Arabidopsis thaliana: one gene and its partners. The protein of the gene in region 2 interacts with the protein of the main gene of each other region in a pairwise test. Each region holds a gene or a part of one and is shown on either strand. Other genes may lie near its edges. The genes, in order: AT5G42200, AT5G27490 and AT4G37445.

Region 1 (4,686 bases), 7.2 Mb from region 2:
CCTGATTTGTCAAGCCACAAAAAGTGGTTTTTCCCTACTTCTTTACCATTTGAGATATTTTCCACTTCCTTCACGCCAACAAATTCCGAACCCACAGATACATATTGCCCAAAAACCTACGTTACAGACAACCCACATTAATTACCACAGATATTTTCATTTATGTCTGTCTATTTGAAAGATTTTTTTTTTTGTTTTTTTGGTTTTTCTTCCGAAACAATATTGTACAATGAAGTACATTTGTACGTGGCCCGATGGCCATATTACACATGTTAACTAAAATAAAATCAGGTTTGTTGAAAAGTATATTACTTCGGATTTTTTTTATTTTTTACGTATGTTCAAATTCGGACTAAAATTATAGATTATTGAGGAAAATAAAATAAAATAAAAAACCTCAAAAACTAAAACTATGCTAACTATTTGTCTAAAAAATAGGTTTTGAAACGCTAGTACATATTTCTCAATTAAATAGTGATTTATATTTTTGACCCAAAAATAGTGTAATTTACATGTAATCATATAAACAAAATTTTCCACCAAAGAAGATATTATATTGAATCAGTGAATGGGTTTCGTATCATTGGTGATTGGAAAAGGATGGTGGTGACATTTTCTCTTAAAAGAAGAAGTAAATGCATCCAATCACTTTTTCTTCAGTAAATTCGAGATTGTTTTTAGAAACGCGTGACTAAAAGCATGCAGCTGGACAGTTCATTTTCTTACCATATTAATCAACTCAAGAAATATACGCAGAGAATAATTTACATCTTTGTTCAAAGTTTCAAACACTCTAAGAATTAGCAATTTAATACTTGATTTGAAACCCTCGGGGAGTAAAAAATAAAACAAAGTACATTTTACTAATTACCACCTTACTTTCCTCGTCATGTGTGGTGAATTTTTTTATATAATTCTTGTAATTCAGAAAAATTTACAGCTTAAGAATTATATCCCCATATTCTGCCAGATCTTTACATTGCCATGCGTCAAAATGTTTTGACCTCCATTATTAAATAAATAATAAATACACAAAATATGTCTTTATGTACTTATTTTTGTTTATTGATATCATCATAGTACTCATTATGTTGTGGGGGAAAAACAGTAATCATCACATTTTATAGTGATCTGATTTATTTATTTTTTGTTGGACCCAAAGTTTAACTCTATCATTGATATACTTATTGTAATGGTTGAAGAAAAATTGTTGTAAATACAATGACATAACTGTAAATTTCGTAATTTACTCTAAAACTAATTTCATGTACAAAAAAAAACAACAAGGCTAGTTACAACCTGGAAACTTCTCTCTCTATAACGCTTACACAAAACTAAGAAAAGGGAAAAACAAGAGAAGTACACAAAACGAGTAAAAAAGAAGGAAAGAATGTTTTTGAAAATTCTGTTTCTAACATGGACTTTGATTTTCATTACATTGAGGTAGGTTCGGAGCCAGCTCGGCGCGGCAAACTGGACAAACCGTGTGGTTAGATAGCCACGTATCAGCACATAATTGGTGAAACCCATGGTTGCAACCGGGAACTAGACGAGTCGATTGACCACTCTCTATATCTTCAAGGCAAACAGCACATTCCGTTGATCTAGCTATTACGGCTAGCTCTCTTCCGGTGAGTTTAGGGATTTTCTCGAGCTCCAACACCGAAAGGCCTTTACCTGTGACCGGTTTAACCGGTTCAGCAAATCGAAGGCGTTCGATACGACGCCGTGTGGAGCACCACAAGAGGAATAGATAGATTAGGAAGACGATGCACATGCCGACGCAGGGGAGGAGAAGGGCCATGAAAACAGTAGCTATCATCGTCCCACCACCGCTAGATTCAGCCGCGGCGGTTGGTGATAGAGATGGTACTAAAGCCGGCGAGATGCGTGTGTAGTGCATCTTTACACCGTCTCTTGCTCTCTACGGCTTGCTTTATTTTTTTGGTTGTAAAAAAGCAAAAAGGAAAAAGAAAAAAAAAGTTATATTCCTCTGCTTGTTCTCTAAGTGTTGTTGGTAGTGAAAATCATGTGAAAAAGAGTAACGGCTATTTATACAAAGAGGAGAGGCTAGGACACGGTAGAGCCAAATATCAGGGTTTAGGTTAAACTATTATTGTTATGATTTTGTTTCTTTTCGTACAATCAGCTTTTCTTTATTATTATGGGTTTGCTTGTTTTATATACACCAGGTTCTTTTGCCCCATTGAATTATTATAAAACGTCAATTTTAAATGGCAATGAAAACGATTTGATATATGGCTTCCACTAACACACACATATATATATATATATATATATATATATATCCAAATTTAGATTTTTTATTTATAAACTTATATTATTACAACAAAAAAATTTAATAATTATTATTTCATTCCTATATACCAATATATAAAATAATTAGTAATTTGATCGAACTAAATTTTTGGAATGAGAATTAACATAACGAAAGAAAATCTCAACCCTATCATTAAAAGAGTGTGTGAAAAATGTTTTCAAGAGGTTTCACATGGAGAAAGTAGAACTGGATAATACTCTTTTGTTTTGTCAATCAAAAGATCATGAATTATGTGATCGAGCACGAGATAGCATATAGGATAAGGTTTTGTATGCTTATGTTATTGGCCACCATATGTCTGTGATGGCATGCTTAAGATCGGAGACAGATTGTAGAGGGGAAGTTATTAGCTAGTTACAATAAGCAGTTTAGAAAATAACATCTTTGACAAACATTTTTTGGAAAATACTCCCTCTGTTTTAGAATATAGGATTTTTTGGGGAATTGTTTTTTTGGTTTCAAAATAAAAGATGTTTTACAAATTTCTATGCAACTTTTCAATGCATTTAATATTTTATTATCATTGGTTAAAAATTTTAAAACTAAATTTTACTCCCTAAATTTCTATGGAGTCAATGATAGTTAGAAAATAAAATCTTAAAATATGTATTTTTAACTAAAACATCCTATAATTAATATGAAACAAGAGTCTAACAATATTAAAGGTTTTAAGCGGACTTTTAGGAATCTGAAATAGAATATAATAAAGCTCACCATTATTTTCGAGAAGTAAAAGATGAGAGATTTGTTGATGATAAAAGTGGTGGTGATCAGTACAGTCGGATATACATTTTTAATGGTAATATAATTTTTGGTTTCAAAGTTAAAGAAGATTAAAGCTTTGTTTATGAAGCTGAGTATGCCGGATTCTGTTAACAATAGTGTTCATTTCGTTTTTGTTAACATCATTTGGTTTTTGTTTCGACTAATTTTTATATGAATTTATTTATTTTTTTCTTTTTTTGAATCTGTAATTGTAAATGGTATTAAGCCTAGTCCAAGCAAAATTTACCAGTTAAATAGACAGCGATATAGGTGTTGAGTTAATCAGGGCAAACTCTTGTACTTAAAGATGTACTTATATGTCTGACTAGTATGATGAGAGCCATACAATGTACATGATAGGTGGTGTCCTAGTGCATGTGACGTTATGTAAAACAAAACTAGGATTTTATAAAACCCACATTTTTTTATGGTGTTCAATCAATTCTTGTGGTTTCGTTATTTAATTACTTGAACGTCATAATGTCTTGGTAAAACACCCTTTTAATGTTTTCCTATCTGTCACGTGTTTGTTCATATTACGTACGTTGGATTCACACGAAACACATTTCTACACCAGTTTCATACAACCTTTATATGAAAATATGTTTTTACTTAGACTACTACTCAGAATCTTAATTAGTCCATACAGAAGAATACAAAGCAGAAAAAATATCATTAAGAACCTCAGAAAATAGAGCAACATAAAAGCTCTATAATACTACTATTGAAGCTCTTTCATTTTGGAAGAAAATAAATTAGCCAACAGAATATAGAACAACATGGCACAACACTTTTCTCGACATTTAAGTTCTGAAAAAGCAATGCTAATTATTAATTTAACCTGCTTAACTTTTTTCCAACAAAATTATAAATTCTGTTTCTTTTAATTATTAATGAAGAAATCATGAGCTATCGTATTATACAATGTTTGCGGTTGTATGGCCATTTGTGTTTTGGGCCGGTAAAATGGAATTTCAAAGCTAGGGTCGTTGATTTATTTGCTTTTCTGTGACCGGTGAAATGGAATTTCAAAATTTCTCTTTACCTTACTTTGAGACTAAAAGTATTTTCTTCTTCTATGCTTACAAAAAGTACTTTAGTTTGAGAGCTGTATAAAATAATAGCAATCATGTTCTAGGAATTAGAGGCGACGGAGAAGTCCAATCCACTAAAAAGTTAAAGAAGATAGCACTTGAAGATAATGCGTTAAAGTAGTTATTTATTTTCTAACAAATAAATTTCAATTAAATAGGCGCTATATTTACTAGACTGGTTTACATTAATTTACATTAATATAAAGAACAATATTAATTTACATTATGTATTTTTTATATTATTTACATTAATTTATTACTAAAATGTTTTTATTTTCGTTTCTAGAATCTTTTCTACATTCAAAATATACAACAGAAATTAAATTAAAAAGTATAATTACAGAAGCATCAATGCATAAAATCTCTAGAGCTGATTATGTATAAAATAATCGACGGTACTAAAAAATTGCAACAACTGATTTTTTCGAGAAAAAAAATTGACTGCTATAAAATTGACCATGTATTCAGTTATTCAGACCTGGTCTT
Region 2 (5,776 bases):
TTACATGTATTTATACATTTACATGTATTTCTATTTTTCAGAGGTATTTTATTGAAAAGTTTTCACTATCTTTGTTCTACTATATATTTTTGAAATTATTCCAAACTCTATTTTCTTATTGAATAGTAAAGAATCGGTTTCAAGGTTATACTGAAACTGATGAAAATATCAAAAGATCTTTAAAATTTTATAGTCAATATACTTGCATCTATATTAAAAAAAAAATGAAAAGTAAGATGTGATATATCATAATTTTTGTGATTAATCTGTATTTTCAAAAATAGGGTTTATCAATGAACCTTGAAACCCTCAAAATAATTCAAAAAAAAGTAATCATTCATTGGGTGAAATTTGAAAAATCAGAGAAGATATAATTATTTTCGGAAAAAAGAAGTTACGTTTATTGGAAAGATCAATAGACTCTCCTCTTATCTCATTCATTTTCCACAAAAAAGAAAACACTAAGAAGAAAAAGAGTTATTCTGGAAATGTCAAATTTCAAGAACTTCTCTGACTTGCGTCCTAAAAAACGAAAAGTTCTGTATGTGTTAAGCTATTGAGGTTGTGGAATTGGCCTCCTAATTATTTCGGGGAAGAACCTACTATGATTTTAGTTGATGAGCAGGGATGAAAAATCTATTTACAGTTTTTATTTCAAGTTTAGTTGTTATTTACTGGATCTCTTGAATATAAACATCCATACAATATCTTCACTGAGATTTTATACTTTATATATTTAGAAAAGACAATGCTTATGATTTTGAATACTTTATATATCTTCACTGAGATTTTATATATGATCTCTGGGACATCGAATCGATGCATTGTCTCCTCTACATGCATACAAAGAAGAACTGATTTCTACATTAAGAGAAGGAAAATGGTATATACTCTCAAACTTCAAAGTGGTTGTACCTAACCCAGTTGACAGATTCTCTTCTCATGTGTTCCAAATTGAGTTTTTGAAAAACACTATATTTTGTTAATACAAAATAAATACCCTAATACAATTAAAATGTCATAGTACAATAGTTTCCAAAAATCTTCGAAATTTATATATCAAATTTTAACACTCGGGTGAAGCACGAATTATCAATCTAGTATATTGTAAAATTTGAATGTGTATGATTAAAATTTTGTTAAATACAAAAATTATTAAAATAAATATTAAAATAAATGTGTGGATCATGGTTTACTATTTAAAATTTAAATATTATAAATAAATATTTGAAGAAATTTTATATTACAACCATCTAGATAGGCGGGACTTAACTAGTTTAATATACGATCTCTACATTGTGTGTCAAAGCATATTCTGTTGATGATAACAAATGAAAGAAGAATCGTGCATCACAGATTCAGTCTCTAGTTTACAAAAATTGGACAGTCTCCAAGGTATAATAACTCTTTCCTTTTATGCTCTATACGGGATATTTGAATTGTGCCTTAGCTAAACCACCGGAAAAGAAGAAAAAAAAAACATAGCTTCTTCCCCTGAGGGAATAATTTATACGGTGACAGTGAACAGATATAGCTTCAGCACTACTGAGAGAGCGAGCTGTAGAAGAAATATGCTGACCACAATCAAGAACCATCTCTCTCCTGCAGAGTTAATATGTGCTTTGAGATTCAATGCTACAAATGTAGCAGACATGAATCCAGCTAAACCCGCAATAACCCATCTGAAGATCTCTAATGGCACAACAGAGAGACACTGCAGAAACGACATTTTCTTAGTCTCGGGTTTTTCCACATTGGATGTCTCATTGGGAGTAAAAAGAGGAATTTGTAAAACTAACTAACCAATGCAGGGATGAAGACGAATAGGGAATATCCGTATAGACAGAAGAGTTGGACTAAGCCTGATGGTGCAGAGAAGTACTTGAGAACAACGTATAATGCGAGAGGGACAATAGTTACATAACCGTAGAAAACTCCTGCAGACCAAGTCACCAGATTAATATCGTAGTTCCATTCCTGTTTCTTCAATTTGTGTGCTATGTATGTAACAAATGTTCCTATGGATGCTGCTACAAAGATCAATGTTGTGCATATCCAGAATGGCCCGTACCTGTAATCCACGCAACAAACTCCTTCAAAATCAGTCCACTTAGCTAAAAAACTGTAACGACTCGACTCTTACAAATCAGGGTTGTTGGCTGTCTTTTCCGTAAATGTTCCTCTAAACGGAAAGAGCGATTCTTTGAGTCTCTCTACGACATCTGAAGTGTCCACATCAAAGTAAGGCTTGTAAGCACCAACAGTGAATCTATGAAGCCAACCACTAGACTGAGGTTCATCTGTAGTACCATTCACAGGCCTCGAAAATGTATCTGCCACCGGTTGAAAGTCGATAAGATTAGCCAATAAGGCATACAAAACTCAGTCAATCAACATAAAGAAGTGGATGAACAAGTCCTCATATCCTACATTTCTCAGTCAACTTCTAACTAAAAAACGAGCAAAACTCCGTAAAATCGTAACTCAATCGAAAGGAGAAGTTACCGTCAGCATCTCGAGGAGGATTAGTACCACCAGAAATCTTTCCCTGAGTAGCAGATGGAGGAAACGTTTGTAGATTTGAGTCTGCATTTACAATGTATCCCTCAATCAAATCACAGAACAATATATAACACACACAATTGCTAAATCTTATCGTTATTCAAATTTTATAAACCTTAGATTGAAAATTCCTTCAACGCACTAAATACAAAATGTCTCTAAGCTCTTCCTAGTTCCGTTCTATCACCGATTCAAAACTAATACATTCTTACGAGAATACGAAAATGTTTACCTGCGAATTTGACGGTGACATGTCCAGGATCTGGAACAGCCTACGATGGATAATGGAAACTAGATCTGATCAGATTGAGATAAGAAACGAGAATCGACAATGCAATCCAATGGACAAGTGTAAAGAGAAGGATCACAGAAACATATGAACGAATCAGATAACGAAAGAGCTTACGGGTACAGATCCAGAAACTTTCTGGTGATCGATGTTCGTGTAGCTTCCACCGGACATCATCATCTTCGTTCTTCTTTTTCTCTTTCTCACAGCTGAAACAACAGAAATAACACAAACCCTCTTTCTCGTTTAGTAGCAATCAAACCATTTTTTTTATATACAGGGTTTTTAATTAGGGGAAATATCATTTTCTTTTTTTTTTGTCATCCGATTTTAATTAAATCTCAAGCGAGTCAAATCTAATCAATGTTGTTTACATAAGTGATATGAAGCGTTCAGTGCAAACTTTTCGCGCCAAATCTGGAGAAATATTATTTAAATCATGACTTTACAATTTTTGTTATTTGTTATTTTGGTGGTTTAAAACATAAACTCGAATCTTGTTATTTAAATTCTTAATTTTATATTGATTTTTATTTTAATCACGAATTTTTGTTGATAAAACCAAATAAGACAAATTGTTAACTACGTAAACAGAGATGTCATCGACGAAGTGTCATCGCCCTTCTTCTAGCGTCCTACGTAAACCAGTAAGGCTTCTAACGCTCTTGATCTGTCGCATTTGGGTGTTTTAACAATTAGCTAAAGCCCTTCTGCTCTTGCAACACATTCTTGTAGAAGAATAGATTCGAACGTCATCGCTTCATTTTCTCCTGCCGCTTTATTGCTTAGGTCGAGAAGAGGGACCGAAAATTTGGTTTTAATTAACCGATTTTATGTGTCCATGTTTTTTTATTCTTTTTTGCTATGGATTCATACTTTTAGGTTTCAAATTATGTTTGTAACCTAAACTGTTTTCATTTTATGAAATATTTACAATTTAGCAAAAAAAAAAAAAAAAATCTTCTTCTACACGAGTATGATTATTTTCATCTCACTCTTTAAAAACTAAACAATGATACTATCTGTTAGCTCCAGTTAACGATGTGTCTCAATTGGCTTAGTCAACCAGAATTCGAGATTAAATAAAAAGTCAACATAAAATTGAAGATTTAAATCATCAGATTCATATAAAATTAAAAATTTAAATTACCAGGTACAGATTTTATGTTTTAAACCAATAAAAACGGTAAAATAATATTTAAATAACATTGATTAAATCAAAGTTTTTTATTATGTTTTTTTTATTAGAAAAACAAAATCACAAAATTTTGTAGCTTTACCGTGCATATAAATTAAGTACATCAATACATTTAACTCAAAAATCACATGCTATATAAAATTAGTAATCAATTGTATAATTTCTTATACATATATATCATCTTAAAAAATAGTATAATAATTATTTTTTGAGGTTTAGTAGAGAATAAACAAAAGTCTTCTTATAATAAACAAAAGTTTTTTTTATAATAAACTTCTCTTTCTTAACATCAAATCATATAATTTTTTCTAACATGGCAAGATATCTCTAATCGTTACACTTGATACGTATTGTGATCGTGTTAATTACTAACTCTTAGAAACCAAAATATATACAATAAGATATTACTATAAATACATATATATTAATTTTTATATAATTTATTATCAAACATATATACAAGGACATTTATTTCTACAAAAAGATAGTATTCATAAGTACAAATAGATTTTATTGATCACACTAATGTTCAAATATTTTTATGTAAGAAAATCATCCTAATATAGTTTCTTTTGATTATAATCTGAGGAGATAAACTAAAAGATTTTCTTGCTTTTTCGTTTTTGACTTCAAAATATATATATAATACAACCATTTGTAACAAAGCATAAACATCAAAAACAAAATTAAGTCAAAATCATAGAAATGACTATTAGCAAGAAAATGTTAATCGTGTTTGTCCTGACTATCTTCGTTGTATCTTTTGGTCATTGCTCTGATAGTTTTCCTGGTACTATTTTTCATTATGCAAATGTTTACTTTTATGTGTAAATAAATATGGGTCTATTGATTTTTTTTATTAACGGTTGTTTAATGATTATTGTTAAATAGGTTTAGGATTAAAGAAGCAAGCACATAAACAATGCTACAGTCCAGACCTGTGTACGGGAGGAGACAGCAAATGTGATATATGTTGTGTTCTTATAAGTGGTGTATACTACGGTAAATGTATTCAAAGCAAATGTCATTGTTTGAATAAGACTAAATAATCTAATCAACTATATGTATCCGCTAATAATATTATAATCTAATTTTCTTTGCTAAAAACAAATTTCATAATCTTTAATAATTATGAAAGAGGAATAAAGATAATTTAGAAGTCAATGTAAGATAAATAAAATAAAATAAAGTTTAATTTTTTAGAAAGATGATTCAGCCGGACTAGATCTGGGGTTCAAAATATTAACAAGCGGTGGAGCATGTAGTTTAATTCGATACAACGCGTAGAACCTTAATTACATCATCTCCAACAATGACCTTCATTTTAAGGGTCATAAACTTTCAAAATAAGGATTTGAGGGTTGAGTTAGTCAATTCTACACAACTCTTTGAATTTGATGTAAAGACAGGAGATTTTATTCCAAAGATGTGATCTTAGAGTTCGTTTACACTAACTATACCATTAGTGGGAACTTTGCTTTAATCCAACAACAAAACCTCAAATTAATCTATTTCTAAAACTTTTTTGTGTTTACATAATAGATCTCAATATTAACAATAATTTGTTATAATGATAAAACTTCATAAAAAAAACTAATATGTACATTTCAAAAATAATTATATAAAAAAATATTAGAAAAACAAAAATTTACATGTTACTAAAAAATTATATATAAACTAGAAAAGAAACATAAAATAAAACTTGTGTGTTTATTTCATGTATATAT
Region 3 (4,491 bases), on a different chromosome or scaffold from region 2:
AGACACCGCCTCTCGAGTTTAGAGAAGGCGATGCGTACTTGGAACAGATACTTTTGAAAATTGAAGCAGCAAAGTCAGAAGCCCGTAACTTGAAGATCCGCGTAGACAAGGTTTTGAGTGAAAATCCAAGTATATTCCCTCTGGCTAACACAGTGAATCCACTTGGAGCTGCTGATGTATACACCAGCTCAGAACAACAAAAGCCCCTGCTGGCTATCAAAAACGAAGATGAGAAATCGATCATCTCTGAAGAAAAACCGGTGAAATCTGCTTCAGTTTCATCTCATCACGTCTCACCTGAAGACGACGAGACAACAGATATTTTACTGTCTGAGATTCTAGCATCAAAGCGAAGGGAAGGGAAATCTATTATTCCCGATAAGAATCTAGTGAAGACAGAACAAGCTTCAATTGAGGAAGGTCCATCAAGACCTGTAAGTTTTCCGCTAACTCAGTGTAACTTTGCTAAACCCTTTTGGTCTCATATGCCATTCTAACACAACGCAGGTAAGGAAAAGAACACCGCGCAATCGTGAAATCATTACGAAGGAAGAGAGTAACCCAAAGAGGCGTCGGGTTTCAAGAGAGAAGCCAAAGTCTAATGCTGTGATGGCTTCTAGGTTTTCCAACAGGAAGAGAAAGCGAGGAAAACGAAGGTCAGGCTCTGCCGGGTTACGAAGAAGATCCTGAAGAAGGTTTGGAAACTTTCAAGTAACTAATCGGATCTTGTGTTAAAAAGTAAAAATTGTTCATTCTAAGATATTCTTAACTCTTAAGCCTTTAAAGTACAAAGAAATATTTATAGTGGCTGTGTTTTGATTCTTCATGTCAACAATATATTCAAACTACATCAACTTTTGAACTTTACTTCTATAATTTAGAGTGTATATATTTTTCTCTATTTTGTATTATCAATCAATCATGTTTTATATCTTGTCGGTGCTAAGTTTTTTTTGTTTGGAAAAGAAAGAAAGCTTAGTTAAAACACTATTTCAAATACATTCGTCTAGAGAGTTTGGCAGAGACAATGGCTAAAATGGTGACCGTAGGGACGAATATAACATCAGGTATAAGTTTGATTAATTTTAACTGAGGAACATTCTCTCCTGCTCTCTTAGCCGCCATTGCCGCCGGTGGAGATACTATTCCGGTGATCATAGTGACATCATCGAGTTTACTTGGCTTCACGCTCTTTGACATGAACTCAATGAACAATTTTTTCTTCTCTTCTTCGTCTTTCGCTTCCTTCCACCGCGCGAAACAAACCTGTTTAGATCATTCAACATTGTGTTAAAAATATAGAGAAATTATTATAAGATTCTTTGTGTGATTTTGATAGAGGAGAGGACTCACCTTTATTTGGTCCGGGGTTGGGAAATCGAAGTGCCTGCCTGGTAAAGCCGAGTTGAAGTTGCTGCACTCAATAGATAAAATTCCTTTTAAAAAAAAAAATGTTGGCCAACATAACCATTGTTTTCGAATGATCAAATAATGAAACAATCCTTACTTAAAGATGTCTAAAACAGCAACGTGGAAATCGTCGAAGTTGTTGATAGCTTTTTGGGTAAATTGTTTGTAGAGTGAACCCATTACCATATTCATCATCTGCGTCGGTGGTACCCCTAGGCCAAATATCGAAATCTATTTAGAAAGATATATAGGACGAAAATTTGTCAAAACGGTTATATAACGATTTGAGTCGATAATTGTTAGGTTAAAAAATTGCAAAACCTTTTCCGAGAAAGCCCATTGAACTACCCATATTGTCTAGAAGTTAGTCTTTAGGAAGAAGAAAATGTTATGTTTATATACAAATTTGTATTGGTGTGTGGAATCAGAGACTTGGCTTGGTGGGTTTGTGTCTTTGCAAAGCCAAGAATCTTGAATCTCTACACAAGACCTTGGTTCAAGTATAACTTGTGCTTTACTTACAAAATCTTAGCCATTTCTTCACAGTTGAGTAATGTACTTTTAATAAAAGCATGGGGAATATGACTTGTCCTCTATTCTCACTTTCTTTTTGCCTACCATATTAGATATCCATTAATTTTTTTCTTTTTCAAATCTAGTTCTCTAAGGAACAAGACAAAAATATGAATCTAGCTATTTGAAAGGTACAATAAAAAGCATTGTATTATATGATTGGTTGGATCTATACATGTTTAGTAATAAATTTTAGACAATTCATTTATAGCAACTTGGCCACTTGAGTTGGGTATCAGATATGAATTCAATAAATATTTACCAACTTCACATTATAAAAGACTAAGATCCAACTAAGTAGCTGACACTTTCATTCTCGCATAATTATACTCCAATTGTAAATATTTGTTTAAAGAAACACATGTAATTGGTTTCAAACGTAAATATCAACATTTGATTTACTAACACTTTAAACATTTAAAAGACTAAAACAAATTATGTAACTGCTTTGCTTATTGTTACATAGACGTTACTTACACAAACATTTTATTTTAGAGTAAATGTCCATAATTCTGCATTAAAATTGAATGTGTCATTTTCAATAAAGAACTCGGACCCATCACTAAAGGACTTTTGTCTGCAAAAGAAAAGAACAATCAATGTGTAAAACAGTATTTTCATCACTGACAGATATGAATTCTTATTATTTCCATATAAATAAAATAAAAGAAAACAAACTGTATAATCAATTAAATAATACTCATTACCAAATTCGTAAAGAAAGAGACAATGGTAGGGTCAAAAATATAAAAACTAAAAAATATCAGAGGTGAAATGATAAATAATTTAGAATGCCATAACGAGAACGGCCCATGCGGTTGCAACCGCTCCCACCGCTACATTCCTCAACACCCTTGTGCTCGCTGCTCCGCTCTGCATTCAATTCCATATTTTCATTTTAGTTAATCGAATATGTAATTACTAAATCAATATAACAAAAATTGAAAATCTATGTTCACTGTTTTGAAATGTCTCATTGGTTATTTTTAACATTGATACTCGAACTTGTGACGGTAGATAAATATCAACATTGTTGATATAAGCTAATGTACCTGATCGTCGGCGGAAGGACCGGGAGAAAAAGCGTCGGAGTTAGGTCCGGGAGATTCAGTCGGTGGTGCAGGTGGACCGAGAAGTTCCGGAGCCGGAGCAGGTGCAGCTTGATGCTTTTTCGATTTCTTTGTAGTCTTCTTATGCTTGCTTGGAGCAGGAGCCGGTACATCAGCAACCGGAGCGGCTACCGGAGCTGGAGGAGAATCAGCTACTGGTGCTGGAACCGGTGGAGAGCTCACTGGAGAAGAAACCATTGGTGCAGGAACCGGAGGAGAGCTCTCTGGAACAGGTGTCGGTGGTGGAGACGACTCGCTAACAGGAGCCGGAGATTTTGGTGACTCAACCGGTGAAGAAGCCGAAGCAGTTGGAGTTTTCGCCGGAGCCGTAGTGGGAGAAGTAACGGCGGGGGATTTAGTAGGGGAAGTAGTTGGAGCAGAAGGAGTGGTGGGAGATTTGGTCGGAGAAGAGATAGGAGATTGGCCACCGACACCGGCGACGACAATGCAGATCAATGTAACTGTTAGGAGGAAATTGCGATCCATAATTTTGTTAAAATTTGGATCAAACAAAAAAAAAAAAAAGAGTTTGAACTTTGAAGTGATGGTTAAAGTACTGATGGAGTTTAACCAAGCGTGTTGTTTGTTTGATGTAAGAGAAGTGAGTTTTATATAGGCGATGAGGAGAGATCTGGATCGTTGGATTAAAAAAGGATCACAGACAGATGTAGCCGTTGAGAAACAGAACATCATATCCTGTATCTATTAATGTAGGATTCAATACTTTTTTCATTTTTATTTTACAGAATAGCTCTTTTACTTTTTTCTTGTGCGTTTTTATAAGGATTTTTTTTTCTTGGCATTTTTCTCCTGTTATATTCTGCAATAAATTTATTCGCCAATGGTGGGTAGATTAGCATGTGTTTTGTTGAACATATGATCAGATATAGAAAATCAATTAATAGTAATTGTTTTTACGTTAGACATTAAATTGGTTATACTATAAATCACTAGTCTTGTGTCAACATAATAATTGGATTTGAAATTGATACCAATGTCGCTCACAAATTTTATCATTGTTTAATAATTATGATATTTTATATTATAGATTATATCACACGGTCGAGAAATTTCCAACTACTAAATTGTCGGGAAATTATTAGTTAAAAAAATAGCACAATATAAGGTACATAGTATAATTGAGATAAATTTTTGGGGTACGACACATGGAGTCTTGGATTAGTATTATTATGTGATCATCACGGGTGAAATTATTATGACTTGATGCATCATGCGTCTATAAATAAATAACCTTAATAATGAAAAATGATTAAACTCAAGTTCAATATAATGCAATCAAAATAAGACAAGGAGAATGAGGAAAAGAAAACGTAAACAAAAAAAAAGAGAGTCTTTGATCGGAAGTTAGAGGGAGAGGACAGCTGGTTGATTGATTTTG

What was found.
Region 1: the proteins of AT5G27490 (region 2) and AT5G42200 interact in a protein complementation assay, tested with the Arabidopsis thaliana proteins (one large-scale study listed by BioGRID).
Region 3: the proteins of AT5G27490 (region 2) and AT4G37445 interact in a protein complementation assay, tested with the Arabidopsis thaliana proteins (one large-scale study listed by BioGRID).

What each region holds. Positions count from the first base shown.
Region 1 is NC_003076.8:16,857,740-16,862,425, reverse strand, and holds AT5G42200 (RING/U-box superfamily protein), read right to left. Parts: upstream 2,141-4,686; 5' UTR 1,904-2,140; coding exon 1,412-1,903; 3' UTR 1,136-1,411; downstream 1-1,135. UniProt on the Arabidopsis thaliana protein: E3 ubiquitin-protein ligase able to catalyze polyubiquitination with ubiquitin-conjugating enzyme E2 UBC8, UBC10, UBC11, UBC28 and UBC29 in vitro.
Region 2 is NC_003076.8:9,701,623-9,707,398, forward strand, and holds AT5G27490 (Integral membrane Yip1 family protein), read right to left. Parts: upstream 3,122-5,776; 5' UTR 3,032-3,121; coding exon 2,969-3,031; intron 2,835-2,968; coding exon 2,795-2,834; intron 2,587-2,794; coding exon 2,506-2,586; intron 2,334-2,505; coding exon 2,144-2,333; intron 2,072-2,143; coding exon 1,804-2,071; intron 1,744-1,803; coding exon of another isoform or gene 1,715-1,743; coding exon 1,508-1,714; 3' UTR 1,213-1,507; downstream 1-1,212. Other genes in the region: AT5G27493 (uncharacterized protein), read left to right, coding at 1,572-1,743, 1,812-1,924; AT5G27495 (Defensin-like (DEFL) family protein), read left to right, coding at 4,755-4,839, 4,941-5,098.
Region 3 is NC_003075.7:17,603,157-17,607,647, forward strand, and holds AT4G37445 (calcium ion-binding protein), read right to left. Parts: upstream 1,789-4,491; 5' UTR 1,763-1,788; coding exon 1,732-1,762; intron 1,642-1,731; exon of another isoform or gene 1,623-1,641; coding exon 1,508-1,622; intron 1,415-1,507; coding exon 1,354-1,414; intron 1,267-1,353; coding exon 988-1,266; 3' UTR 938-987; downstream 1-937. Other genes in the region: AT4G37440 (uncharacterized protein), read left to right, coding at 1-434, 508-690; AGP18 (arabinogalactan protein 18), read right to left, coding at 2,770-2,856, 3,036-3,785.